Astyanax mexicanus: one gene and its partners. The protein of the gene in region 1 purifies or fractionates together with the protein of each later gene. This does not show direct contact. Links are inferred from orthologs where the notes say so. Each region holds a gene or a part of one and is shown on either strand. Other genes may lie near its edges.

The links.
Region 2: the proteins of bag2 (region 1) and hsf2 purify together in Homo sapiens (affinity purification with mass spectrometry; 4 studies listed by BioGRID and IntAct, with this or other methods). This does not show direct contact. The link is inferred for Astyanax mexicanus from reciprocal best matches to the Homo sapiens genes BAG2 and HSF2.
Region 3: the proteins of bag2 (region 1) and dnaJ homolog subfamily C member 13 purify together in Homo sapiens (affinity purification with mass spectrometry; 3 studies listed by BioGRID and IntAct, with this or other methods). This does not show direct contact. The link is inferred for Astyanax mexicanus from reciprocal best matches to the Homo sapiens genes BAG2 and DNAJC13.
Region 4: the proteins of bag2 (region 1) and rasal2 purify together in Homo sapiens (affinity purification with mass spectrometry; 3 studies listed by BioGRID and IntAct, with this or other methods). This does not show direct contact. The link is inferred for Astyanax mexicanus from reciprocal best matches to the Homo sapiens genes BAG2 and RASAL2.

Annotation. Positions count from the first base shown.
Region 1 is NC_064414.1:16,372,522-16,379,833, reverse strand, and holds the start of bag2 (BAG family molecular chaperone regulator 2), read right to left. Parts: upstream 3,303-7,312; 5' UTR 3,110-3,302; coding exon 2,985-3,109; intron 1-2,984. Other genes in the region: E3 SUMO-protein ligase ZNF451, read right to left, coding at 6,515-6,555, 7,211-7,312. UniProt on the Homo sapiens protein: Co-chaperone for HSP70 and HSC70 chaperone proteins. Acts as a nucleotide-exchange factor (NEF) promoting the release of ADP from the HSP70 and HSC70 proteins thereby triggering client/substrate protein release.
Region 2 is NC_064408.1:82,018,700-82,026,593, forward strand, and holds the start of hsf2 (heat shock factor protein 2), read left to right. Parts: upstream 1-4,626; 5' UTR 4,627-4,777; coding exon 4,778-4,870; intron 4,871-7,894. UniProt on the Homo sapiens protein: DNA-binding protein that specifically binds heat shock promoter elements (HSE) and activates transcription. In higher eukaryotes, HSF is unable to bind to the HSE unless the cells are heat shocked.
Region 3 is NC_064408.1:105,172,177-105,179,781, reverse strand, and holds the start of dnaJ homolog subfamily C member 13, read right to left. Parts: upstream 3,101-7,605; 5' UTR 2,952-3,100; intron 1-2,951.
Region 4 is NC_064415.1:45,565,645-45,573,354, reverse strand, and holds the start of rasal2 (ras GTPase-activating protein nGAP), read right to left. Parts: upstream 3,289-7,710; 5' UTR 3,067-3,288; coding exon 2,538-3,066; intron 1-2,537. UniProt on the Homo sapiens protein: Inhibitory regulator of the Ras-cyclic AMP pathway.

The DNA of each region.
Region 1 (7,312 bases):
TGTAATATAATAATTACAATTCTATACTGTTTTTGAAAATTGATACATTATTGCAAAACATATTGTGATACTATCTTTTAATACAGATGTTATTAATAATATTAATATTTTCGAACATCCCTAATGCCATACAGAACCTGCATGAGTCCGTGCTCGATCATTTTATCTCATCTTGAATCCAAGCTAGAGGCTCCAACATGTACTAGAGCAGGGGTATTTAATTAGAATTCAGTATGGTCCAGTTAGAGAAAATTCCGGTCCGGACCGATTTTTAACTTGTGTTATGATTCAGTGCTATATCCTGTAAGGTTGCTTGAACTATAATTAAAAATATCTATAATAATAATAATAAAAAAATGCAGATTTTGTGTATATTACCTGCCTGTCTTTCTCTGTTGCGTTCGGCGTGACACATTAGTTTCCGCCTGTTCTCGTTTTTACGCTCATTCTTGGGCTCCCTCTTCTTATAAAGGCGTTTTTTCACGGTCGCGTCCCAATTCAATAGCTGGAGCTATTGCGCGACCCTGACAACACGGGTTCGATCCCGCGTGAGGAGCAGTGTGTTTATTTATTTCTTTATTTCCTTACCGCAAAGGAGAGCATTTGGTGATCTTACACCACACATGATTGGTCTGTGAGTTTACTGCGCCGCAAAGCACGTATACAATGAAATCATTTTAAAAGGTTTGGGTCCGCATTGGACAACATTTGAGTTGCCTGTTAGTGACCTCTGTACTAGTGCCTCTTTTCAGATAAAGAGTTTTCCCCAGTAAACTTTTGCTCTATTTGTGTATGTATTACATATTTACATTTACACATATAATGTTTCATTTGGTTAATCAGTGTATTCTTTTCTACTGAGAACAAGAGAACCAAAAACATTTTCATAAAATGATTATTAGAAATAAAAATCCATCCTAAAGCAAGAAGACGGATCTGCTGGTGCAGCTCGTATTTATAGCCTCACTGAGCAGCAGCTGCATTTCTGCCAGAGTCAACAACTCCACACAACTCCACTGCTTTAGTTCATCTGACCCGGTTATAAACTTTACTACACAGAGTTTACACACACACACATACACACACACACACACTTCTACTACTGTTATCATCAGCGGTGTGAGATTTTTTAAGTATTATGGCTTTTAGAGGAGTATTAAGGGAATGGGAGTATTGGAGTAATATGAGTATATTTAAAGGAGCATTAAGAGTATTAAAAGTGTAAGAGTGTTAGAGTAGTAAGATTAATAGAGGAGTATTAAGAGTGGGAGGGTATTAGAGTAGTATAGGTATTATCATACCTGTCAAGTCTCCCGTTTTGGCCGGGAAACTACCGTATTTTACTCCTCTTTCCCGCCGTCCTCCCGTATTAGTATTTTCCCGTAAATTTCCCGTATTTTATTAAAATAAAAAAATATATATTATTGAGGATACAGGGCACTGACCGCTCTGTGTCTCTTAACCAATCGTGGAGCCGGTTCAAGGAGAAAGTCCCGCCTTTCAGGAGAAACAGCCAATCAGCTTCCAAGGAGGGTCAGTGTGGGGAAGCCCCGCCCTCCTCGCTGTGAGTTCAGGCAGCTAGTTGGAGCTGCTGATGTTAAAACATACATGCAGCGATTTTTCTAAAAGAAAGGTAACGGTAGTCTAATCATGGAAACTGTGATGAGATTTTTCTGATAGCTGCTTAAAAATACTCCGAAATAAAACACAGAGATTAAACCTTTTAAAATAAAAAAAAATTACAGCTTGTGACTCAGTTTAACTAGAAATGTGGAGAGGACCGACATTAACTGAACTGATCAGGGGTGGAGTGATCAAAAGGAAGAAGTATTAATTAAAAATTATTGTGTAGGCCCCTTAGGACTAATTTTTACTGATGGAATATATCTGGTCCATGTCCTTTTAGTAAAAGCTCATAATACCATTTTTAGGTCACCAACAGTCATTTTGCAGAATTTGTGCACTCTTTGTTCAATTTTAAATCCATTAAATAAATAAAAAATATATCATATAAAAGAGTGCATTTATTACAAAAAAGACATGAAATCTTAAATAAAAAAAATATATAGAAAAGGGTTTTTAATTTGGCTGTATTAAAAGAATGACATATCCACAACATGTCCACAACATGTTCAGATTCTGATAATCTAATTGTAGTGTGTAAGTGGTTCACATGTGGTTATTTTAGATTTTTTGTAAACCTGTTTTAAAATGTAAGAGATACTGAACCTTCGTTGGGCTGGTGGGACGGCTTTAAGCGGACAGAGGAAAATATCCCTTATTTTTAAATCTAAAACTTGACAGGTATGGGTATTATGAGTATTAAGAGTGTGAAAATATTAGGTATTATGGGTAATAGAGGAGTACTAAGGTGTGAGTATTAAAGTATTATGGGTATTAGACGAGTATTCAAAGTGTGTTAAAGTATTATGGGTATTAGACGAGTATTAGGAGAGTAGTAAGAGTGTGAGAGTATGGAGTATTAGAGTAGTATGGGCATTATAAATATTAAGGGTGTAAGACTATTATGAGTATTACAGTATTATGGGTATTAAAGGAGTATTAAGAGTGTAAGAGTATTAGGGTATTGTGAGTATTAGAGGTGTATTAGAGGAGTATTGAGAGTGTAAGAGTATTAGTAGTATGAGTATTAGATGAGTATTAAGGTGTGAGAGTATTAAAGTATTATGGGTATTAGAGGAGTATTATATAGGTATTAAGAGTGTGAGAGTATTAGAGTAGTATTAAGGTGTGAGTATTAAATTATTAGGGGTATTAGATGAGTATTAAGGTGTGAGACTATTAGGATTATTAGAGTATTAAAAGTGTGAGAGTATTAAAGTATTATGGGTATTAGAGGAGTATTGAGACGTGAGTTTTTTTTTAGTATTATGGGTATTAGAGGAGTATTGAGAGAGTAAGAGTATTAAGATTATTAGAGTATTATGGGAATTATTAGTATTACGGTGCGAAAGTAAACCCACCTCGTTTCCAGATCGTCCAGACTCTCCAGGAGGCGCAGAGAGCGGTCCGCCATGGAGACAGTGCGGCTGAACTTCCCGCTTCTCGCGGCTTCGTTGATCTTTGCGCTGATCTTGGCCTGAGCCATGGCCGCGGCTCTCAGTGCGGAGACTCGGCTCTACACGGGCGGGTCTGAGGGGGTCTCAGTGCGGAGACTCGGCTCTACACGGGCGGGTCTGAGGGGTCTCCTCTCTCCGGCTCCTTCTAGCGGTTTCTCTGACGGACAAACATCTCCTAACATCTCCAAACATGGGCTGGATCTCCCGGGGTATTCCCGCCCTCGGGGGGAAACGGAAGGGCGCTGAGCGGCGGGGGAGGATCAGAGCAGAATAAACTGAATTATTAGCCGCTTTAGCTCCATCTCTTAATGTATTTATTTATTCAAACTTAAATCTGCCTCTATTTAACTCTGCCTCTATTTAAAATTGCCTCAATTTAAATCTGCCTTTATTTGAAATTGCCTTTATTTAAACATTGCCTCTATTTACCTCTGCCACTCACTTTATTTAACTCTGCCTCTATTTAAAACTGTCTATTTAAAACTTTGCCTTTATTTAACTCTGCCACTGATTTTAACACTGCCTCTATTTAACCCAGCGTCATTTTATTACTGCCTTGCAATGTTAACACTAACATTGCCTCTATTTACCACTACCTTTGTTCAACTCTGCCTCTATTTACTACTGCCTTTATTTAACACTGCCTCTTTTTACAATGGCCTCTATTGAACTTTGCCTTTATTTAAGACTGCCTTTATTAAAAACTGCCTCTATTGAACTCTGCCTTTATTTAAAGCTGCTTTTATTTAACGCCGCCTCTACTAAACCCTGTCTCTATTTAAAACTGCCTCTATTTAAATCTGCTTTTATCCGCGCCTTTATTTTAACTATGCCTTTATTTAACATTGCTTCTGTTTAACTCTGCCTTTATGTTAAACTGCCTCTGTTTAAATTTGCTTTTATTTAACACTGCCTTTATTTAACATTGCCCCTATTTAACTCTGCCTCTATTTTATGCTGCCTTTATTTAACTCTGCTTTTATTTAAAACTGCCTCAATTTAAATCTGTTTTGATTTAACACTGCCTTTATTCAACACTGACTTTATTTAACTCTGCCTCTATTTAACCCTGTCTCTATTGAACTCTGCATTATTTAACATTGCCTCTATTTAAAATGGCCTTTAACTCTGCCTTTTATTTAACACTGCCTCTATTTAACTAATATTTTAATAATGCTTTTTAATGCTGCCTTTCTTTAACTCTGCCTCTTTTTAATGCTGCCTTTATTTAACTCTGCCTTTAACCATGCCTTTATTAAACTGCCTCTACTTAATGCTGACTTTATTTAACACTGACTTTGCTTAACTCTGCCTCTATTTAACGCTGCCTTTATTTAATTTTGAATCTGCCTTTATTAAACACTGCCTCTATTTAACTCTGACTTTATTTAACATTGCCTTTATTAAACTCTGCCTCTATTTAACACTCACAAAACTTTCAGGAGAAATGCACTCTCCACAAATAATAACTATTATAATATAACAATGATCATAATTAACATAGAAATAGAATATTAACAAAATACATATAAAACTGTAATGTGTAATTGTTTTGTGTATTTTTGTATTAATACCGATACAATCAGGTGCATAATTTGTATAATTCTGTTAAGAAATTATGCTTAGATAAAATTAATGAATTTTACCCTATGGATGTATGATTATCACCACAGATTATTAACAAAGATCATGACCTCAGATTATTACATTACATTACATTACATTACATAACATTTGGCAGACGCTTTTGTCCAAAGTGACTTACAATATTGAGTTGCAAATAATAGAAGAGGTTAAGTACAAAAATAATAGAAGTTAAAAATAAAGCATCTATAGATAGGGCCTTAAGGAGGTCAGAGGGAAATAATGGGATAGAGGAGTAGAGAAGAGGAAGAAGGAGATGAGGTTAGAAGTAGTTAGTGTGTTAGAGGTGTTAAGAGAGTAAGTGCTCTTTGAAGAGCTCTGTCTTCAGGAGTTTCTTAAAGATAGCAAGAGATTCTCCTGATCTGGTAGTAGAAGGTAGTTTGTTCCACCATTGGGGAACTCTGTATGAGAACAGTCTGGATTGCTTTGTGTGAATGTTTGGCAAAGCGAGGCGACGTTCATTGGAGGAGCGCAGCGGCCGGGAGGTAGCGTAAGCCTTCAGGAGTGAGTGCGGGTAGGAAGGAGCCTGTACTGTCATCACCTTGTAGGCGATTGTAAGAGCTTTGAATTTGATGCGAGCATCAACTGGTAGCCAGTGGAGCTCAATGAGCAGCGGAGTGACATGTGCCCGTTTTGGTTGGTTGAAGGAGTTGGTTGGTTTATCAGAGTTCATCATCAAAGATTAATATCTGAAATTATCACCACAGTTTTATCCTCAGAAATTAGTACCACCCTTTACCAACAGAGTTTATTATCTGACATTATTATTAAAGATTACATTTGGGGTTCTTGGTCTAAGATAAATTTCTATATGGCCCAAAAATGGGCTTTTCCAAAACTCTCCTCTGTCACATTCTGTGGTAAATTAATATGTTCAGAACTCTGTAAATTTTATTCTGTGTACATTCTGCTCCTGAACATCAGTCAATCCTCTGAACTGAACTTATGTCACAGCAACACAGAACAAGAGGGGACTTTGGCACAACACCAGGGAATGAGAGTGTTACAGCAGGAAATCACTAAAACAAGCAGCACAGTATTTATTTCAGAACCAGGTTCTAGCACCAGTGTAGTTACTGTGCTATTAGCATGTTTAATTAGAGATGCAGTAATCATACTGGTCAACTTCCCTGGATATACTAACACACCGGCTACACCAGCAAACGCAAAATACAAAATACATTTGCTGTGTTGTTCAAGAGCCAATCAACCAGCCAGTTTACTCCCAGCCAGGCTCAGTAATGTGGGTTATAGTGGTTTGTTTATCTTATAAATATTCTGATTGTTTTTTATGTAGTGAATGATTGAGAGAAGTTTTTCCTTGTTTTAGTACATTAAGCCACGTTAAAATCTAGCATTGTTGTTATTAGGACTCTTAATTGATCTCATAATTCAGAGGATTCAGCGGGGTTTAGGAGCAGAATGTACACAGAACAAAACGTACAGGGTTCTGAACAGATTTATTTATAGAGATGAGTTTTTGAAAAGCCCATTTATTTTTGTTATTGACAAATGCAGCTTAAGACATGGAACCACAAATATGGCAATAAACATGACGCCAACTACAAAATGATCACACAGCTGCAGTGGTCTATTAGGGTGAACTAACAGCTGAACTAAACTCACTCATCTCATCAATTTCAGTTAAAATAATAATAATAAAAATCAGAAGACGACAAATAACCAGTTTAGTCAGTTAGTTCTTTATTTAAACTTCAGAGAACATTAACAACATAAAAAACAAACATACAGGTCAAACACTGTTTGAACTATTTTGCAGGTTTTAGCAATCAAAAGTCCTGCAGGCTTCTTTTCAGAGCTTCTTCCATCTCTGTAAAACACAGAAAATAAGTTAGCTAGCTAATTTACTCATTTATTTATTCAGAATTATCATTACCTGAAAGGTGATTACACTGGAATTACTAATGACTTACATTTACAAATATGTGTAGTAAGAACCTGTGCAGGTTTTCAAGACACTACAACATTTACCTAGCCCTGATAAAAACACATTCACCCCTATGAAATCACACTGTGCAGAGAAAGATTATTAAAAAGGTCTGATTTCTTGATCAGTGAAACAGTGACTAAACAATTGCCTCCTAACTGCTGATTTGAGTCAATGTGATGAAACTGCCTGTAATGATGTACATTTGATTTTACTCTTGAAACTCTCCTTTAACCAATAGGAGCCCAGGCCCAGTTTTAAGTAGTGGTTCAAATGTGTTAAATTAACTGAGCAGCTCAGTTCTCCTCAACACTGTACAGTGTCTGTGCATGCTACACCTCACAGTGCTCATCACCCCTCGTTACACCATTTTCCCACAACAACTCACTGAGTTACCAAACTGAATTAACATACCATATTGGTGGCACTTTTCACGCATGTAAAGCTAGCAAAATAAAAAATAAATATAAAACATTAAAAATAATTAGAAAAACAAAACTTGGGTAATTCTAAAACATGTACAGAAAGCCTGACCCACCTCGATCAAATTCGTTTGGTTTCTTTGCTTCCTCAGCACTCAAAGCCAAAGCAAGCTTCATCTCCTCTTCAAAGTCATCTTTAGACTCTTCCACAGATTCTT
Region 2 (7,894 bases), on another chromosome or scaffold:
TTTCTGAATAATCTATTTTTAAACCCCGGTTAATTATTTACATACAACGGCATATGTACAAACCCCCAACCCCCTTACGTTGTTTGGCTAGCTAAAAAAAAAGAAAGTTTAGCAAAAGTAAAAAAGCAAACAAAACATGATGAAAAGGGGAAATGTGTCCTTTTTGAGAGCAGTGGGGAACATTCCTATTCAACCTATTTACACAATAGTTTGAACATTCTTACTTGTGTGATCTTTAGGCACCCTTTTTTAAATGATCAAATTCATTTGTTAAACCTGTTTTCAGTCTGTGAAATGTTTTAATATACTAATGATTGGGAGGCGATTTTTGAGAGTTTGTGTGCTGTTCTACTTTAATATAGTCATTAAATTGTTCAATATAGTAAAGAATTCATTTCAGAAGGTTACAGTGCATGTTTGTTAAAATAACTTAGATGGTCTTATTACTGCAACACTCAATTAACTTAAAATTAAATATAAATGAGGAGAGATAGATAAAGCGAGAGAGAGAGAAATAAAGAGAGACCTTGCCCTCTCTAGTTCATTCTCAGTCTACAGGCCCTTTCTCCCAGTCAACCCAAAACCTTCCATTGTCTCTGAGAGGAAATCGTTCAGCTGTTAAATTTTAAACCATGAGCTTTTCCAAACACCAAATCCACAGTGACCATATGTTTACATCCCCCGACAGATACCTCCCCCATCCATGCTGTAAACACAAGGAGCTTTTGCCTTTATCTTTAGCTTCCAGCTGCAGAGTAAGAATCTTGATGTACAAAGATTCACGGATTGTAACACAAACCGTATTTATATGTAACCACCCTCAACATACATTTAATTTGATTCAACTACCCACTTTTACAAACCCCTCAACTGACACAAACAAGATTATGTCAGAAAGACTTTGTTGGCATTCTTGTTTATAAAAATTAATTGGGGCTCATTGGTTAGAGTGCTGGTTCACTGATAACAAAGTTGAGGATTTCATACCCAGGTCTAGCCCACTACCACTGTTAAGCACTTGAACCCCCTGTTCCATTAGCACCGGGACATAGCCTGCACTCTGACCCGGGTTTGGCGGCTGTTAAACCATTACTGCTTGAGCAAAGGCTGCCACCTCTGTGGGCATGCGTTTTCACAAAATCACTGTGTGTGTGTGTGTGTGTGTGTGTGTGTGTGTGTGTGTATGTGTGTGTTTGTATGTGTGTGTTTGTATGTGTGTGTCTGTGTCTTCTGAGTGTACTTACTGATGTGTGTATTTACTGCACGGATGCCCAACACAAGTATATGTTTGTCTTGCCAAAAAGTTATTCCAGAAGGTTGAAGTGTCTAGCTTCATTACAGCTTTTGAACAATAAATGCTCTACATTGTATGAGCTTGTAGGCACAATAAAACTAATAAATAATAAAACTCATAACTAACTAACTAACTAACTAATAAATAATTCAGAAAATAATTAATATTAAATGTTTATTTTTGGACTATCAATCCATTCTATCAAGTTGCATGTGGGAACTTCATCAGCAACTACAGGGAGGGCATTTGTTTGCTGTATTGTATAGTTTTATGATGAGACTAACGTTTCTAAACAATTAATCTGGAGGCACTGTATCTAGCTATATAGACTCAGTAAACCAGGAAAAATAGTTATTTGTTGTTTATTATACTTTAGTATTAGTATGAGCACTTTATACAATCCATGGTAGGTATCTAAAAGTAAGGATCTCTACATTTTCTGAATTGTTTTATGTTTTCTGGGGAGATCTACCAACCTTCCATTTTATTAATCTTCTTATCTTCTTTTTCCAAGTCAGGGTTGTGGTGGTCCAGAGCATACCGATGATCATTTGGTACAAAGTAGGAATACCTGCTGAACAGGGTGTCAGTTCATCACACTCCAGTCCCTTGCAACCTTTCTGGAAAATACATACACAAAACATTTAGTACAGCCTATACATACCCACCATAAATACACACGAGCACCTGCAACCAAAGCAAATTTGTACAGACATAAACTTGGTTCTTATGGTGTAACAAAACACATGCCATCTTATTAACTGTATGGTAGCCTATGTACAAGGTACAGGCTAGCATACAACAGAAAACACCACACAGACCCAACTCAATATCTTAGCCAAAAAAATCCGACTCATAAAGGGCAGGCTAAGCCCCAAGGAGATCTGGCCCCCCCCCTTCTGTCAGTGTTGAACTCTGCCCTCAATCTTCAAAGTCACAGCCCCTTTCATGTGGACTACTCCACCTTCCACCTATACCCACCCAGGATGGCAAGGTCTGCACATAACAAACACCAAGCCCTCATCGCTTGTAGCCATAATTTGCCCAAATCTCTGTCTCGACTGCAAAATGACCACTTAGATGGAGTGTTTCCACAGCCTATAAAAGTACACCGCATTTTGGTAACGCTCGAGAACTCCTTACAGTTTCAAGTATTTCTGCAAAAATGTGTTCGGAACATGATTATTTATCACAAAAACACAACTAAATACAAATGATTTATTGAGCAAAATGACGTACCATACTCCTTTTAAGTCCATTCACAGCATTTTTATATTTTAGAACTGATCATGCTTTAACCAATTCTTTGTAGACTAATTTGTGTGCTTCAGGTCATTGCATTGCTGCATGACCCACTTATAGATAGGCCACTCCACTGAATGTGTGCTATTTGCTTGTTGTAACTCTTCCAAATTAAACTTATTTATCTTTATTATATCTTTTATATAACTTCTCAAAAGTTTTGCAAAACTAAGATATGTAATTAAAAACAATAAAAACCACTTAACACTGAAAAAATAGTATTTGTTACCTGTTGCCATTCTTTAACTATAAACTACCATGAAATATAATTATTAAAATACTTTTGCATAGTTGTGTGACTCTGAACCCCATCTATCCTTTAAAAATAGTTTTCATAATAAATCCATAATATTAAAGTTACATATTTTATTTGTGTTTCTGGGTTTCACTTATTCCTACAACAGGATTTCACAGCTACAACAGGAAGTTACATCATCTGGTTCTTCTGAAGATCATGGGAAGACCAAAATTAAGTTCCCATATTTGTTTTTCTGTATATTTAATCTTATTGTAACTATGACTGAAGAAGTCAATCTCAACATTCATTCATGTTACTTGAATTAATTTTTAGATCTTTTTGTTTATTTTTTAAAATATAAATTATAGGAAAATCACTAGAATATGCTCAGTGTGCTCATGCTATTATCATAGCCACCATTTAGTTATTTTTCATATATTTTTTTAATTCTATGCTAAAAACTCATTCCTGTTACTTTCAGTCCTGTTACTCAAAATATAAAAAGTAATAGGAATAAGTGCCAGTAACAGGAGTGAGTTCCAGTAACAGGAGTGAGTATTGTCCCCTGGTTAATTTAATTTCTGTTTCGTTTATCATTTATCCATTTGTTTAATAAATTGCATGATAATAAATTTGATCAATTTCAGTACATTTACATGTTTTGAATAGTTAAATATATGTGTTGTTAAATTAAGAGTTGAAATAAAAGATTAAAAAATATGTTTAATTTGGAAGAATTACAACAAGCAAATGGCACCCATTCGGTGAAATGGCTTATTGTCATTATTAATATATGCTGGAGAGATGCCTGTAGGTCCTTAAGGAGATATCTGCACATTTTTAAAGCTCACATTTAATTACTTTTAAGACATTTTTAATACCTCTCACAAGAAAAAATAATACTATTACTGTAGCAAAAATGACAAATTAGGTGATAGTATACAAAAAGTTTTACTGAAGTGAAATAAAAAAAAAAAATCAGTCCACCTTAGGGAACATTACTGACCTTCTGTTAGCAAAAATTATTCCAAATAAGTATCGAATAAACATAAAAGTGTGCTGTTAAGGGAACTCGACAAAACAGCCTTTTAATTACTCACTACTTTCCCAAAAGCACTGGCAGAATAAGTGGAATATTCCCTATAGATCACTATTTGCATTTTATATAATAAACAAACAAAAACATGATTAAAATTGTTAGACATTTTAACTGGCTTAAACGGCACATCAATTAATAAACAATTCACATGCCTATGTACACTATAATTAGTTAATTGATTAAATAAAAAGAAGTAGTCATGAATAAGAAGTACAAAACAGCCTGTGATTATATCTTTGTGTTTTGCAGTTAATCGTGTTTTTATTTCATGGTTATTTAGACATGCAATTAATTCAATCATTCCTTACTTTTCCTCCATATAGTTGAATGCCTCCCCTCCTAAACGTTCGTGCATTTAAAGACATTTTTAGACCTTGAATATGTAAAACTAAGTTTAAGTCATTTTAAGACTTAGGAGTCCATTGTGACTTTGCAGAGTAAATATGGATAACTTCTAAAGTCCAGTTTAACAGTATTAAGCCTCTAAACAAACCCAAGCCAACAGAATAATATATAATGTATTTTCTTTCAGCTATTCACCAGTGTGAGGCCTGTGTTCTGCAGCTCCACCAGTCAGAAAAGGCCAAAAACTCATACGTATACACACAGCCCCCCTAACGTGATGCAAACACGTGCAAAAACACACAGGGTTTACGTAAAGTCTGTATTGGACCAATGAGGAGCTCGGGCTGAGAGTAGGAAGCCGTGAGGCTGCGTCGTTTTTTCACTGCTGTTGCTGTTTTTGTCCGTGGAGGAGAGAGAGAGCAAGAGCGAGAAGAAAAGAGAAGGACAGAAAGAGCGGACAGATATCTCACCAAACCCGACTTCTTTAAGAAGAATAACAATGAAAAACAACTCCAACGTCCCCGCGTTCCTCACCAAGCTGTGGACCCTGGTGGAAGACTCCGACACCAATGAGTTCATCTGCTGGAGTCAGGTATAGACCCCTCTATGTCTGCTCGGATCCATTATAACCTAGCACAGCTAGCTATAGCTAATCTAATGTAGCCGTTAGCCAGCCTAATGCTACACACACACTAACTAACTAACGCTAACTAGCTTAGCTGTGTATCAGCTTGTTTAGCTAGCTTACAGAGCCCGGTAGCTATGGTAACTGTGCTAGCAATATCTATACGGGTTTTAAACGTTTGCCTTATTAGCATAACGGTAAACGTGGCGTTTAAATGGTTTAGGTCAGTTTAGGTCACTCCTGCTACTGCTGTAGGTTTACTACTTAACTAGTTAGCTAACGCTAGGTTAGCTAGAGCTCTGTGAATTAATCCTTTAGCTAGTTGCTCTTTACATGCAGCTAGTAAGCTAACCTAGTTAGCTATTTGTCTATGGGACGAATTGCATTTTCTTGTGAGTCTCTATGGATATAGGTTAACCATACCTGTCAAGTTTTAGATTTAAAATAAGGGATATTTTCCTCTGTCCTCTTAAAGCCGTCCCACCAGCCCAACGAAGGTTCAGTATCCCTTACATTTTAAGACACGTTTACAAAAAATCTAAAATAACCACATGTGAACCACTTACACACTACAATTAGATTATCAGAATCTGAAATGTTGTGGACATTCCTACATATGTCATTCTTTTAATACAGCCAAATTAAAAATCCTTTTCTAGATATAAAAAAGTTAAGATTTCATGTCTTTTTTTGCCATAAATGCACTCTTTTATATTATATATTTTTTATTTATTTAATAGATTTAAAATTGAACAAAGGGTGCACAAATTCTGCAAAATGACTGTATGTGACCTAAAAATAGTATTATGAGCCTTTACTAAGTGTAGTTGTCCTAAGTGGCCTACACAATTAATAATTTTTAATTAATACTTCTTTCTTTTGATTACTCAACCCCTGATCAGTTCAGTTAATTTCGGTCCTCTCCACATTTCTAGTTAAACTGAGTCACAAGCTGTTAACTTTTTATTTTAAAAGGTTTAACCTGTGTGTTTTATTTCGGAGACGAGTATTTTTAAGCAGCTATCAGAGAAATTTCATCACAGTTTACATGATTAGCTTACCCTTACCTTTCTTTAAAAAAAATCGCTGAATATCCAGATCTGTTTTAACATCAGCTGCTCCGACTAGCTTGAACTCACAGCGACTAGGGGCTTCACCACACTGACTCTCCTTTGCAAGCTGATTGGCTGTTTCTCCTGAAAGGCGGGACTTTCTCCTTGAACCGGCTCCACGATTGGTTAAGAGACAGCGCGGTCAGTGCCCTGTCTCCTCAATAATATATATATTTTTAATCTTAATATAATACGGGAAATTTACGGGAAAATACTAATACGGGAGGACGGAGGGAAAGAGGATTAAAATACGGTAGTTTCCCGGCGGGAGACTTGACAGGTATGATGTTAACAAACTTTGATTAATACATTTAGTTTTTGACTTTTGATAACAAGCTGATCATTTGAAACAGGTGTTTTAGATCAAGGAAGCACACAAAGCCACCACCACCTTTTCACATTTATATATTAGTACCTGTTTCTAAATTAGCCACATCTTGCCATTATCCTTTATGTTCCCATCACCTTTTCACATTCATAAATTAGTACCTGTTTCTAGGGCTGCAACGATTAGTCGATAAAATCAACAATTTTGAGTACTAAAATTTGTCGACTACAAAAACTGTCTCCAAAAGTGCCCAAACACAACAGATTACGCATTTCCCCATTATATATCCGTACTTTCCGTGTTTAAACAACATCTAGACATTTAAATGCCGTTTAAATCTCATGCTCAGCTGTTTCTAATGTTAATGTCAATGCTACAATGCTACAGTGAATGTGTGCTGCAATCAAAGCTAAAAGTGGTCCAATCAAATATTGGAGTGTGTGACCTTTTTTTTTTGGCCAGGCGGCAGTGTAGCTTAGCTTTAGCATTTTTTTATGACCCAGTTACATGCCTAGCTAGCTACATAACTAGGAATTCAACAGTAGAAGATTTGTTACTACAACTGTAGGTTATAAGCTAGTTTAACCGACATAGATAGCTATGATACATTACAAGCATTACAACCTAGCTATTATAACTACTTTAGTAAAGTTTTCCATTAGTTAAATCTCTTTTGAATTGCTGGCTATACAGTCAGTGCATTTAAACAGTCAGAAAAGTGGTGTTTTGTGTTTGTAACTGTTTTAACAGGTGTTTCCTTGTGTTATTAATTTTGTTATAGTGCCAGTGCTTTATTATATATACAGTGAGTCCAAGAAGTATTTGATCCCTTGCTGATTTTCTTCGTTGGCCCACTAATAAAGACATGATCATTCTATACGTTTAATGGTAGATGTATTCTTACATGGAGAGACAGAATATTAAAAAGAAAATCCAGAAAATAAATCTAAGGAATATATATTAATTGATTTTTATTTCATGGAGTGAAATAAGTATTTGATCCCTTAGTATTCATTAGCAGTTCTGGCTTTTACAGACCAGTTAGACACTCCCAATCAACTTGTTACCTGACCTGAAGCCACCTGTTCTCACTAATCACTTGTGTGAAAAATACCTGTCCACAGAATCAGACAGATCACACAGATTTCAAGTCTCCAACATGGGTAAAACCAAAGAACTGTCACAGGACCTCAGAGTCAGAATTGTTGACCTTCACAAAGCTGGAATGGGCTACACAAAGATTAGTAAGGTGTTGGATGTGAAAGTAACAACTATTGGTGCAATTATCAGAAAGTTTAAAGAGTATAACATGACAATCAACAGACCTCGGCCCGGTGCTCCAAAGAAGATTTCGCCTCGTGGGGTGGCAATGATGCTGAGAACGGTCAGAAATCGTCCTGCAACCACTCGGCAGGAGTTAGCAAATGACCTGAAGGCAGCTGGGACCACAGTTTGCAAGGAAACAATTGGCAACACTTTGCGCAACAATGGATTCACATCCTGCAGTGCCCGAAAGGTACCCCTGCTGAAGAGAGCACATGTGGAGGCGTG
Region 3 (7,605 bases), on another chromosome or scaffold:
AATTGTTTGTCTTTAAAACTGATACATGTAAAAACAACTTGGTTCTAATTTCTATGTTCACCAAACAGCCATAATATTAAAACAGCAAACGTATGAAGTAAACATTGAAACATTACAATGATCTCTGAACATGGAGTCCTATCAATTAGTGGGATATAACAGACAGACATGTGAACAGTCAGTTCACAAATAGATAGATGACTGGTTTAGAGCATCTCCAACAAATCAGGTCTTGTGTTGCGATTCCAGTATGCACGGGTGAGAACCCCCCAAAAAAAGTACTCAAGCAGTAAGAGGAGTGACACTCATTGCTGTAGGTAGGGAGAGAAGGATAGACTCCAACACCACAAAAAACTACTGCAGACAAATGTAAAGTTGGCTATTTCTGCATTAGGGAGTTCATCGGTTGGACTATAGTACCTTAAAATATGATTCAAAACTGAACTCAGCATATGTTTATGCCTTGACTACACAAGCTACAGAATACCAAACCTTAATTTTATGATAGATCTGTGTACATAGACTTTGAGTAGTTTTAAAGGAAGAGTTTTAAAGTTGTATGTGTCTACATAACTTCATGTAACACACCAAACCCTTTTAATTCAAATAAGGAAAATATGTTTTTTTTCCATGACATCAGCCTTTATTCTTTTGTTCATAAACATGTTTCTTGTTCGGCCAGTCCCCTGTGAACAGGCCTTTCAAAAGACATTCAGTTTGACAGGCCTGAAGATGGCAGTCACATGACTACTGGAACTCATGAGCTGGTGGCTCCACAGCAAACAGCAACAGATATAGGGCAACTCTACACTAACAGACAAACCTCTTCAGATGGCCAAAAATACAAGAAAAAGTCTAAACATTTAGGTTAATGTTGGGACTGTTTTGTTCCTCATACGTTTATTTCACTAACATTAGCTATCTAATGTTCAACATTTCAAACTACACAAAACTAGATACTCTCCTTTAGCTCTCCAGCTTATCAATTGTAACAGCATATGGTCCTAATAAATCCCTAATAAAACAACATTAGTGTGCTAAACTTTAAAGCTTTGAAACATTTAAAAAGAAGAAAGCTAGCGTTAGCAAGCTGGCTAACGCTAACTCATATGAAGACAAGCAGACCATCACAACATAATGTATAACTAGTCAGTTAGTCAGCTAAGTTAGCTAAGCTAACTAGCCAACTGGACAATAGTCAAGTGCATTAGCAAGCTGTCTGTCTGTCTACGTTTCTTAACAGTATTACCTAGTTAACTAGCTAATTATATAAGCTAGCTAGCTGACCATCTGACTAGCCAACTGGAAAGGTTTTTGGTCAATAGTCAAGTGCATTAGCAAGCTAGCTGTCTATCTTACTAAGCTACGTTTCCTATCTCTATTAGTTTAACTAGTTAACGTTAACTATATAACGTTTATCTAAGCTAGCTAGTTAAGTTAACTATATGTAGGGATGTGGGGAAAAAATAAGAGACCACTTCAGCGTCTCTTTGATTTTGCTATTTATATGTACATGTTTGAGTAAAATGAACAACATTTCTCCCAAATTCCAACTAAAAATATTGTAATTTAGAGCATTTATTAGCAGAAATAGAAAAATGGCTAAAATAACAAAACAATGCAAAGCTTTCAGACCCCAAATGATGCAAATAATTCAAGTTCATATTCATACAGTTTTAAAAGTTCAGTAATCAATATTTGATGTTATACCCCTGGTTTTTAATCACAGTTTTTATGCATCTTGGCATGCTCTCCTCCACCAGTCTTACACACTGCTTTTGGATAACTTTATGCCACTCCCAAGCAGTTCATCTTGGTTTGATGGATTGTGATCATCCATCTTCATCTTCATTATATTCCACAGGTTTTCAATTTGGTAAAAACATAGAAACTCATAATTTTTAAGTGGGCTCTTTTTTTCTAGAGCTGTAAAGCCAATTGGACAGGTTGTGTGGTCAATAGTCAAGTGCATTAGTAAGTTAAGCTGTCTGTCTAACTAATACAATTACGTTAAGCTACTTCTATTAGCTAGTTAGTTTACGTTTCTTAAACCTATCAGTTAGCTAACTATATAAGCTAGCTAGCTAGCCAACTAACTGTCTGACCAGCCAACTTGACAGGTTTTTTGGTCAATAGTCATGTGCCTCAGCTAGCTGTCTGTCTGTCTGTCTGTCTATCAAACTAGCTAGATAAACTATTAGCTCAGTTACCTAACGGACTCCATGAGCTAACAACGTTTTCTAACTCTATCATCTCAACTCTATTAAGCAGTTAGTAAGCGTAGCTAAGTTAGCTAGCTAACAGGTTAACTAGCTAGTTATGTAGGTAGACAGACAAACAGCTAGCTAGCTAATGCACTTAAATATTGACCAAAAACCTTGTCCAGTTGGCTATTCAGATAGCTAGCTAGCTAGCTTATATAGTTAGTCAAGAAGCTAGGTGAACACTGAATGCCCATCTTATGCTGTGTTATTACAGTGGCTGGTGTTATTGTTATATTGGGTCATGCGGTAGTAAGCTAAGCTAGTATGTTTGGCTGTAGCTATGGGTTGAGGGGATGCAGTGTTGGGTTGGTCAAGACATTGAATTTCTCCAGCTACATCACAGTGGGCTCTACACTGGAGATAAGTTAGAGGGAGCTAGGTTAGGTTAGCCAGGCTAACTAGTAAACTGCAGCTGTGAATTCCAACAGGCTGATAGCTAGTTACAGTCATCTGTCCCCAGTTTCCCCACTGATATTTCTCCCCCTGCCACCTCCCCATTCTGCACTGGGACAGGAGGACACTGTTGCACAGCTTAAGGAGCAGGCTAGCCTGTGCTAGCGTTAGCAGTCAGGCTGCACCGCATCAATGGATCACAGGCGGAGGGGCAGCAGCAGCAGCAGTGGCGGACAGGGCAACACGCACACACTCACTCCCTCACACCCTCACTCACACACAGCAGCGCTTTACCTGAACCGCCCGGATCAGCTGCGACTCGATTCCGTCCTTTCTACCGAACTTGTGGTGCCGAGCCTTCCCGACTGCGCTTCCCTCAGTACGGAAAAAAACAGTCAGGACGCCGCCATGTTCGCTCTTCGCACAGAGTGTGCGTCTGCGCATGCGCGGACCTGCCGCCTGTCATGAGGCTGTCAGCTGGTCAGAGTGTGGCAAACGAATGAATCATTGAGCCGATTCTTTGAGCTTAAACTGTAGGAAGGCGCGATCTCTTCTCTAGACTGTATAGCCAACTGTTAACTTATAGTATCCCAGGTGGTTGCTAAGGTGTTGTTAAGTAGTGATTACTGGTAGGTGGTTGCTATCATAACTAAGGTGGTTGCCAAGAGGTTGCTAGGCAGTTGCTATGGTTTAAGGTCTTGCTAGGTGGTTTCTTTGTCAAGCATGGTGGTTGCTAATGAGTTGCAAAGTAGTTGCTAAGTTGGCTTTAAGTGGAGGCTAGGTGGTTGCTAAGCAACTCCCAGGTTTAAAGGCATTTGGCATCATTTCATGTGGTTGCTTAGGTCTTGCTAGCTGGTTCTGGTTTTATGCATGATGGTTGATAACGTGTTGCATAGTAGTAACTTGGTGAACACAGGTGGTTGTTAAGATGCTGTAAAGTGGTGGTTAGCTGGTTGCAATCATATCTGAAGGGGTTGCCCAGGTGTTGCTAGGCAGTTGGTATGGATAAGGTCTTGCTAGTTGGTTTCTTTGTTATGCATGGTGGTTGTGAAAGTGTTGCAAGGTAGTTGCTCAGTTAACCCAGGTGGTTGCTAAGGTGGCTTTAAGTGGAGGCTAGATAGTTGCTAAGCAACTCCCAGGTTTATAGGCATTTGGCATCATATATCGTGTGGTTGCTTAGTCTTGCTAGCTGGTTTCTGGTTTTATGCATGATGGTTGATAACGTGTTGCATAGTAGTAACTTGGGGAACCCAGGTGGTTGCCAAGATGCTGTAAAGTGGTGGTTAGGTGGTTGCAATCATACCTGAGGTGGTTGCCAAGGTGTTGCTAGGCAGTTGCTATGGTTAAGGTCTTGCTAGTTGGTTTCTTTGTTATGCATGGTGGTTGTGAAAGTGTTTCAAGGTAGTTGCTCAGTTAACCCAGGTGGTTGCTAAGCTGGCGTTATGTAGTGGCTGGGCAGGTGCTTTCATATCTGAGGTGGTTGCTAAGGTGTTGTTAAGTTGTGGCTAGGTGGTTGCTAAACAACTGCCTGGTGTCTAGGCAATTGCCGCAATATCCCATGTGGTTGCCAAGTTCCTGCTAGCTGGTTTCTATGATATGCATGACAGTTGCTAATGAGTTGCAAGGTAGTTGCTCAGTTAAACCAGGTGGTTGCTAAGATGGCATTAAGTTGTGGCTAGGTGGTTGCTATGCAACTGCCTGGTTTCTAGGCAGTTGCCATCATATCCCATGTGGTTGCTAAGGTCTTGCCAGCTGGTTTTTATGATATGCATGATGGTTGCTAATGTGTTGCAAGGTAGTTTAACCAGGTGGCTGCTAAGGTGGTGTTATGTGGTGGTTAGGTGGTTCCTATCATGTCTGAGGTGGTTGCCAAATGGTTTTTTGGCAGTTGCTATTGTTAAGGTTTGTAAGCTGGAATCTATGTTATGCATAGTGGTTGCTCAGGTAACCTAGGTGGTTGCTAAGGTAGTGTTAAGTTGTAGTTAGGCAGTTGCTATCATATCTGAGGTAGTTGCAAAGGTGTTGTTAAATGGTGCCCATGTGGTTACTAAGGTTTCTCTTGCTAGTTTCTATGTCATGCCAGGTGTGGAATTGGTAGTCTTTGGTTCTCGCAAGAAGTCGTGTGCTAAACAGCTCTGTATGTTCTCTTGTCCTACAACGTTTTGTTATTTCCTTCATGATCTTGTACTTGTTCATTCTCAACTTATTCATGTTTTTTTGTACTAATTAAAATTGTTTTAGTTTGCCGAATCAATTATTTTAGGCTGTTTCAATGAATTAAATGTCTGATTTACAAACACTTCTCAGAAAGAGGAAGCTCCAGCCCACTGAATGTAGACGAGTTCAAAAAAGGGAAACTGTTATATGTAAAGATGTAGAGTTGCAGGATTTGATAAGTGTGGGAAAAATCAAATTCACTTTCATTTCAGACCTCAACTACTTCAAGGTCGATATCTATCCATCCATCCATCCTATTTTCATCATCAGCTTCTTTTTGGTCAGAGTTGCAGTGGGTCAATGGGCCTACCACACACCCATTCAGTCACACAGTCATGGCTAGGGACAGTTTAACATAACCAATTCAGCTACTTAAGCAGAGGGAAACACCAAACTCCTCACAGACAATAATCAGAAGCCTCTGCCTCAGAATCCAGGCCTCTGAATCAATGTGAAATGCACTCTACCTGCTTTACCTCCTGTCATTGGATTAATTAGTATATGAATTGACTGTACAGGGTGAAGAGTTAATCATGCATGTTCACATATGAAATATTAATAATATTTACATACCTTTTCAAATTTGCCACGGCTAATTTGGTACAGGTATCTTAATACTCTGAATTTCTTTCAATGATGAAAATGCTGTGAAATGCTTAAAAATGTGCACAGATAAGCAAAGCACTGGTGTGCATTTCCTCACATACTCAGCACTGAAAGCACATTTAGAATAATTGACAGCACGTTTCCTCAAGGCTGCATGTTCAGCAATTGAAAAACAGCTATGGTCGTCATTGCGTAGTAAAAGAAACCTCAAGGGAACAGAAAAAGGGAAGGCCCAGCCAGGCCTCGACTGTAATCAGAACTAAATTCAGCACTGTAGATTTATTGACCAACAGCAGTTTACAATAGTGTTAGTTTATATTAGTGCCCTTCTTTATCTGTCTGTTACAATTGTATCCATGCTTTTATTTACAGCTGTAAATTGTGTTCACTTTACAGTGATTTAGAGTGGTAGTTTTCTGCCCACCCATGTCAGCTGTGGGGGGTGTTAGGTTTCATTTTACGGTGGAGGAATTACAACACAACAGTTTCTGTTTAAGTAATTGTACAACTGCTTTCATTTCAGGCCACTTCTGTTAACTTTCTGCCTCATCCACACACAAGCCTAAACACTCAGAGACTGACCTCTAGTGGAAAAATGCATTCAGTGCAGAATTAGAAGGACGGGAGTTAAATAAGGGGCAACATTCCAGTTTCAAAGCTGTACTGCTTAAAATATATATATATATGGTATAAAGTTCTCCAAAAGCAGTGTGTATAACTGGTGGAGAAGAACATGCCAAGATGCATGTAAACTGTGATTAAAAACTAGGGTTATTTCACCAAATATTGATTCCAGAACTCTTAAAACTTTATGAATATAAACTTGTTTTCTTTGCATTATTTGAAGTCTGAAAGCTCTGCATGTTTATTGTCATTTCAGCCATATCTAATTTGCTGCAAATAAATGCTATTAATGACAATATTTCTATTTGACATTTGGGAGAAAGGTTGTTTGTAGTTTAAATAAAACAATGTTTATTTTACATATATCTATAAATAGAAAAATCAGATAAACGGATTCAGAAATTGAAGTGGTCTCTTAATTTTTTCAAGAGCTATATATGTTCTATATAAACATTGAAAGTTTGAGGGGAGTTAAAATAGTTAAAATAGCTGTAACACCTATAAGTATCATGCTGCCATTCTCAATTCTTAATTCTCAATTAATTCGCAGAAAGGAGTAAAAAGCAGTATGACATCATACCATGTGAATGCCTCCTATTTCAAGCTAGATTTCTTAAATTAGACCAGATTCATTCCTTTTATCCTTTTGAAATCCAGTCCAGCATTTTCTGCTGCTATCACTTCCAATACTAATAGCTGTAGGAAATTGGTTCCATTTCTACCTAAAACATTTTAATGACAGCATTAAATGATTTCCTCACATCTCTCTCTTCTACCACATACAATACGTCATAAATACAATAAACAAATTCTAATAAGGACTTTTCTAAACGGAGGGATTTGTATCAACTACAAAACACCTAATGAGGTGAGAAATCCTACTGAGGCCTAATGTGATTAAATGATCACGTACAGTCAATGAACCAACGTACAGCTAAACTGTGGTTTGATTTTGCTCAGGAAGAACAATACAAATAAAAGTCGCTCTTTTTATGATGAAGTCAAGTCCTGACCTGAAATTAATCAAATATATGCAATGTTATGGCTGCAGTAACATCCTGTCAAAGCTGGACATAGCCTCACACAGTTTTAATCTAGCACTTGGGAGTTATTAAAAGTAGAACATTTATATTTGACCACAAGATGGAAAATCTTGGAACAGAATATTAATAATTTTATCTACACTTCTAAATGATCAAATAATCATGTGTTTTAACCTATTAACATGCCTTGTCCCGTATACAGGCTACAGGTGTAGGTGATACAAAACCCTTATTCTCTGCAGTAAAATAACTTATTTACATTCTGAATATTTGAGGGCTTTAAAATCTCCTACAGGACACTTGGAGAAGCTGTCTATTCACTCTGTACTCCATTTAATAATTTCAGATTAGTAACAGAAATTAACCTAAATTTTTATGTTTAAAATTAGACATATAAACTAGACATTTTAAACTGAAGTTCAGGAAAGAGCCAATTTTATGATTTTATTCATTATATT
Region 4 (7,710 bases), on another chromosome or scaffold:
GACAGGAACCACCAAGGAGCTGTTTATTGACTCAAGGAGAAAGAGGGAGCTGCTGGGACCACTCAACATGGGTGAGGCAGATGTGGAACACTTTCACTCAAGTGAGGATCTCACCTGATCTCACAATGCTCACCAGATCATCAGTAAGTTTCGGCAGAGGCATGCTGGCCAAAATCATGCCAAATAAGTGCTCTGTAAGTTCCTTTTTTTATTCTGAATATCACACCATATGTCATGGTGTCATGCGTCATATGATTAATCACACCACACCACAATCTGTATGCAAAAATCTGTATTAGCTGCATTTAGCAAACAAAAAACTTGGTTTAGCTAGTGACTGAAATCGTTTTCAGTTACAGCAGAATCACAAAACTGTTGATGTGAATTTTACTCAACGTAGAGAAGAATGTTTATGAGACATTAACTAATCCACTTACTGAATTCATTAGATGTAGCACTTTTTAATTTTAATCTGTCGAATGTTACCTACAGGAATTCTAATAATCTTTAGTAAGTCATTGAACTTTTTTATATTTAATGCATTATTTCTTTTTAAAACGAGAATGAGCAGAACAATGATGGATCAGAAAGCTGTGAATGTATTGTTAAACAGTGTGCCAATAAACATTGTGACACATTTGGTTTCTACTTAAAGAAACAAACAGAAGAAGCATGTATTTATAATATATGCCTTTCCCGGTTTTGTGCTGAAACGGGATGTTCAGGTGTGCTACCGTAAACTGCAACTGGGTCAGACTGAACTTTTCCTTTTGTGTTCAGGAGTAACTGAGTCTCAGTGAGTGAGTGAATCTGCATGAATGAGTGAGTGTTGCTGTACAAATATTACATTTGTAAACAATATACTATAAAAATGTGTTAAACGAATTAAATTTTAAAACACATAACTATTAGCTAAAACGTATCTAATTGCATTAGTTATGTATTTAAATGCAGTTGATATCATATAGTATTACAAAAAAATCACACCATATGATGTTTTATGTATTTACCATGACTGTAAGCAATGTGGCTTTATGCTAGCATCATAACATACCATGCTAGCCATGTGTCACACGATATGACAGTGCAAAATGGAACTGAAGCAGAAGTGCTGGATATACTTAATTTTCTGAAAGAATAAAGAGTGATAATTCACCCTGTAACGTTCAGTGTCCTTCTGAGGTGTTGTTCTTCCTCCTGAAAGAAGGAGGATCCCCACTCCCCAAAGGACTCCAAATAATTGCCCGTTTAAAAAAAGAAGTATGACGTCACACCATATATCATTCATTTTTGGGACAAAATGTTTAAGTTGATCGTGGCTTCAAAATATTATGCCCGAACTTTTAGCCAAGCAGACTCATAATAGACACCTGGGTTATTAATATATGATTGATTAAATAGAAAATTAAGTAATTTGCTTGTATTTATTTAAAATCAAAATTTGTAAAATGTGATTGGGACAGTCACGCCATATGAGCTTTTTCTGGTTTGATTGAAAATTGTAATAAATGTTAATTCCATGAGTGCTCTGTAAGTTCATATAAAACAGCACTTTCAAACAATATATTCAGTTTTTGACATATTCTTCTATAATTTACATGTATTTGACACACTGGACCAAAAAAAGGCCACATCATGTCAACCACCCTTAGATACCACAGAACACCTTTAGAGGTCTTGTGGCGTCCATACCTTAAATGGTCAGATCTGTTGTGATGGCACAAGGGGACCTACTCAATATTGGGCAGGTGGTCTGAATGTTACGGCTATATACAGTACTACCATTATACCGCCCAACTCCAATCAGCACTATTAGACATTACATTGTTGAGTTGTGTTATCCTAGATAAATAAGTAAAAAATTTAAAAAACACTGTTTTTAAACAAACCTGAATGGGCCCTCCTTGTTAAGTAAATACTATGGGAAACATTAAGGTGGGCAAAAAAATAGGTCATGTCCAAATATTGTGGGATAAAAAAAGAAAATCCAATCTGCTGAGGGAAAACTCTGACAGCAGGAAAAGAAAGAGCTTGTTTATTGCAAAGGCGTAGAGAAGTGAAACTGATCAGTGGGGTGGTTTAACGCCTAAACTCTTAAACCACTGACAACACGATGGTGAGAAAAGCTTAAGCTGTATTTAGGTTTAATCAGCTTAAACTGTTCTTTAGGAGATATTGCCTTGTTGGCAAATCCACCAAAAATAACTCATATACATATAGAGAAAAGAAAAGTCCACGCTACTCATCAAAAACTGAAAACAAAAAGCTTTTGTACAATAAATTCTACATTAAATAATCATAAAACATCTGCCTCTCTTGTTAATATTTGTCATTTTATGTTCATTTGTTTTTTCATATTTACTCAGACTTGACAGGTCTATGATATTATCATATGAAATGATCAGATTTTATAACCCATCACAGTTAGTTTTGTAGTGCAATCCAATATACATACCCAGTTGAACAAGCTAAATCTTAAACAACTAATTTGCAATGCACGCTCTGTGCCCTGCTACTAAACTCTAATGACAGCCTACCGTCTTCTCCCATCTCTGGAGTACTGGGCCTATCTCTGGCTGCCAGAATCCGGCTGATGCGTTGTGACATGGACAAGAGGATCCCAGAAAACGGGACGCCAGCCTGTGTCTGCGGTCTCTGGAGGATTTCTATGCTAGCCTTGGTCCCAGGTTCCGAGGCAGAGCGCAAATAGGGTACTTTGGTCCGTGACAAGCGAGACCCCTCTGCTTGAACACATTCCAGAAGCACACCAGACCTTGTGATTCTGCTGGGATCAGGGAGGCTGTGTACCCTTGAGCCTTCGAGGTTAGCTGGGAGGGTGCAGCCGCTTCTGCTGGAGAGGGTCTGGCTAAGTGCGGCTCGTCGGGCCTGGTCCAATCTCTGATTTGAGTCCAGGGGCTCGGCAGGAGCTGAATTGGAGCGGCGCTTAAGCCAGGGTCTGCTAAGGACATGCCAGCGCTGGCCACTTTCCTTGCCAGTCAGGTGGTGAGATGGTGTTCTGCTCGCCTCCAGCCGCTCACCCCATATAGTGCTACTTTGAAGACTCATAATCCACAAGAAGACTGACGTTACAGCAACAAAAGGACACAACCACAGAGAGAGTCTGTACCCACTGATTCTAACTGCTATCTAAACACTACAAAATCCAAACAACTCGTGCCTCACTTTCTGAAAAATATATCAAATAATATATACAGCAACATACAGCTTGTCTCCGTTATTAGGTAAGAAGTAGTCCACAGGTTACGGTGTGAGCTACCATTTCCTGCTTTCTGTGTCGTTGTTGTGCTTCCTGGGAGGAAGTGGGGCGTCTTGCACATGCTTCTACACCAATGCCTTTTTACATACATGATTCAATCAGATCGCACAACACACAGTTATGTCCTTTAACCGAAGTTTTCTTAACCTGCTGAAAGTTTTATTATTCAAATGATAACCAGCAGGGATGGAATGTTCCATATCTTGGTTAGATTCAAAAGGTTAATAATAAAACTAAAAAATATTTTTTATCTACAGTGGGCAGATACAGTGAGGTCTCCATACCGTATTCCTTCAGGAAGTACTTACAAAACATTTCAAACTAAACTGTATAACCCATTGTACCAATCACATGCTTTTTTTCTTAGAATGAAACTGGTTTTAACACCACAGTTGTATGCTGTGTACCACAACTAAAACAAAGTTCTACCCAACAATAGAAAATTGTACACCCTACGTGAAAATGGAGAAATTGTTATGCGTTCAGCCGGACATTGACTTTAAAATATATGTATGCACACTGTCAGCATTGCTGCAGAGGCTGAAGAAATGGCAGGTCAGCCTGCAGTACTCAGACTGTACGCCGGACACTGCATCAACTCATTCTGCATCACTGTTGTAGGGAGCCTCTTCTGAAGCTGATGCACAAGAAAGTTTAAAAACATTTTGCTGAAGACAAGCAGTTCAAGAGCACAAAGTACTGGAAATTGTTGCCAAACTTGTTTGGCTCAGATGGCGTCTAGCATGGGCTGGGGCCAGCATGTATTCTGACCTTTTGAAGCAGAGCATGACCCCCTCCCTTCGGAGACTGAGCTGCATGAGAGTTTGCAACATGATAACAACCCCAAACAACATCCCAGACGACCACAGCTTTGCTAAAGAAACTGAAGGTAAAGGTGCTGGACCGGGCAAGCTCCAGCTCTGAAACCTGTGAAGCTCTAGTGAACTCCATGCCCAAGAGAGTTAAGGCAGTGCGGGAAAATAATGATGTACACAAAAAAAATAGAGGTGTGCCAAAAAATCGATTCACATAAGAATCTTGATTCTCATTTACTACGATTCAGAATCGATTTAAAATGTCCCAAAATCGATTCTGAGGGGCGGGTTTTGGACTGATTTTGGGCTGGGTATTTTTGTTGGACCTGGCAACCCGCTTGTCCCTTCAAACCGAGGTCTTCCAGACCCACACAGAGCGTAGTAGGTGTTTGAGAATCACCGGTAAGATGGCAGAACAAGCACTATATTACCTTAGATTAACGTGTAGTTTTAATGTTTTATGGCAGAATGCTTCATAACAAGCATAAAAAAGATCGCTAGTAGTTAGTTTCAGTAACTGTTAGCTAGCTAACAAGCTAACTTTCCAGTTCCACCTTAAATAACGCTACAGGTGGCTGCGGGCTGCAGCATTTAAGGCGGAACGGAAAAATAACAATAAGCTAATCAGAGCTAATTTCAGCTCCTCATCACAGAGGAATTAAGGAATGGACAATATGAATTAATTTCTCCACCTCCTGCCCCCTTTCTGAAGAAATACAACCACCTTAAATTAACTAGTTAATCAGCAGCTGCTCCTGAACTTTAGCGCTCCACTGCTATCATCACATCAGCCCAGCAGCGTCACCTACACACCACCGCTAGTAGCCTGGTAATAAAGCAGTGTTATTTATTATTTATTTATTGTTCATTAACGTCATTGTGATATCCCAGTGATTCCTATGTCACTGAGGACTCACATTCCTGCACATTTTATTGTTTTTGTAACACATTACTTGCTCCAGGACCAGTGTATATTATGGAGGGTTTTTTTTTCAATAAGATTCATAAGCCAGAAGCAGAAATTTTTATAATTCAAATCGTTTTGAATCAAAAATCGATTTTGAATCGAATCGTGGCCCCCAAAATCGGAATCGAATCCAGTTGTAATGTTCCGGATCCAATCTCGGTTCAGATAGTGAGCTTTGGGGCAGGTAAAACACAAAGCACATGGAGCAGATAGGACACTTAGACTCACTCTGGCAGTATTTTACTTAGGCCTACTTATTTATTAGTTCATATTAGATCCTATGCAGCACCAAAGCACTACAATGGTGTTACTTACAGAAATAAAATAAATAGCATTCTCTGGTACAACACAACACACACTCTGATTCTCTATGCTCTCAGCATAGGTGCCTGTGCACTTAAAGGGACAGTGTACACATTACTGAATACTGTTACATATTTTCCCCAGGCCATTTAAATGATCATTATGTGTGCTGAGATTTTTACACGTCCTTTAATCTGATATAATTTAACATGGTTGAGGAATATAAAATAATTTCTAAACAAACAAACTTTTATTTTATATTGAGCTTATACCCCAAGTGCAAAAACACAAAATCTGTAATAAAGCTATGCACTGCACAATCATAAACCGAAATAGACCAAGAACAGTAAGATAATTTACAATGACTTTCCTCTTCTCTTGTATAATTAACAATGTTTAAGAATATAAAATACTTTTAATGATAATGAAAATGTCGACCATGTTTTTTTCAAGACAGTGCTGAAAATGTGTGCTCAAAATACTGTACTGTAATGTTTACAGAAGAAGCTCCTTATTATCCAGAGCTGATTTACCCAATGCAGCTCAGAACCATACGACAGGCTTGTTGCCTATTTTTAATCGTGCTAGAAATTACTTATAATTTTCGAATGCATTTGATCATTTATAAGAAGTTTGCTGCAATCTCATCCTCTCACAGCTGATCACTGAGTCAACCCGTCCAAACCTAAAAGATCCCTCCAAATCTACCTTGATTGATTTAATATTTTCTAACAAAACAGATAAAATCACTGGAGTTTTTGAATTTGGCTTTAGTGATCATTGTCCGATCGGGTGCATTAGAACCAGTTCAAAGATACAAACAGGCTGTCGGATGGTGGTTACAAGAAATTTTAATGAACAAGCTTTTCTTTCTGACTTCTCAGTGAGCAAAATTCACTTAACTTTTGCAAGTACAGATGTGGATGTTGCATTAGAACATTTCAGGAAATCATTCCTTTCAGTGGCAAATAAGCATGCTTCGTACAAAAAACTGTGAAATAGAGACAGATCTAGCCCCTGGTTTACAGGGGAAATTTCCTCACTGCTACAGTCAAGAAATAAAGCCTGGTCAATTTCCAGACGCACAGTGGAATGTGAAAAATGGCTTACTTTAGACAACTGAGAAACAGATGCACCTCTGCAATTACCCTTTGAAAAGCCAAATCAGATTATTTCTCCCTCAAAAACAACTCCCAACAAATCCCAACTAAAATTCTAGTCAATAGTAATTTGATCTCTGACCAGCAAGAACTGTGCAAAGCTTTTAATGTACACTTTGCTGCAGCTGATCAGATATTTAAAAACACTAACTCTGACCTGGCCGTGGATCAGCCTATCATTACTACTACTGCTTCCCAGAAAATCGATATCTTCTCCCTCCAGACCTGCTCTCCATACATAGTAGCTAACGCCCTTTCCTCTATTAATCCTCAGAAAACAATAGGTGAGGACGGTCTGGACCCCTACCTTCTGCGTCTCGCAACCCCAGTTATTTTAGAACATTACATACATTTTTAATCTTTCTATTTTATCTTGCAGAATTCCCCGTATCTGGAAAACAGCTCATGTTATTCCTCTGCATAAAGGAGGAGATGCAGCAGATCTAAATAATTACAGACCAATCTCAAAACTGTCTTGTTTATCTAAAATTTTAGAATCCCTAGTGAATAACCAGCTCAAGTCTTTTCTCTATGAAAACTCTATCCTGTATAACTATCAATCTGGATTTAGAGAAAGACATAGTACCATCTCTGCAACCACACTGGTTTTAAATGATCTATACATGGCCCTAGACAAGAAGAAGTACTGTGCTGCCATTTTGATTGATCTCACTAAAGCTTTTGATACTGTCGATCATGAGCTACTATTAGGTTCTTTACATAAGATTGGTTATAGCAATAATGCAACTCTCTGGGCCCAGGATTACCTTTCTGGCAGGAAGCAATGTGTGTCGCTCTGTAACCATAAATCAGACCTACAGCCCATAACAAATGGAGTGCCCCAGGGCTAAATCCTGGGTCCAGTTTTATTTAATATTTTAATCAATGATCTTGCGGCCTCTAACTTAGACTGCAAGTTACACCTTTATGCAGATGATTCAATCTTATACTGCTCAGCAGATTCTGCACATGCTGCCCTAGAAAAACTTCAACATTCTTTTAACACTCTACAGACTGCTCTATATGAACTCAAGTTGGTTTTAAATGCAAATAAATCCGAATTCATGCTGTTTTCCAGATTTTCAAATATTATTTTAAATTCCAGACCTATTCTGACAGGATCCACCATTGAACAAGTTAGCGAATATAAGTATCTCAGCATCTGGCTCGATAAAAAAAACTTTCTTT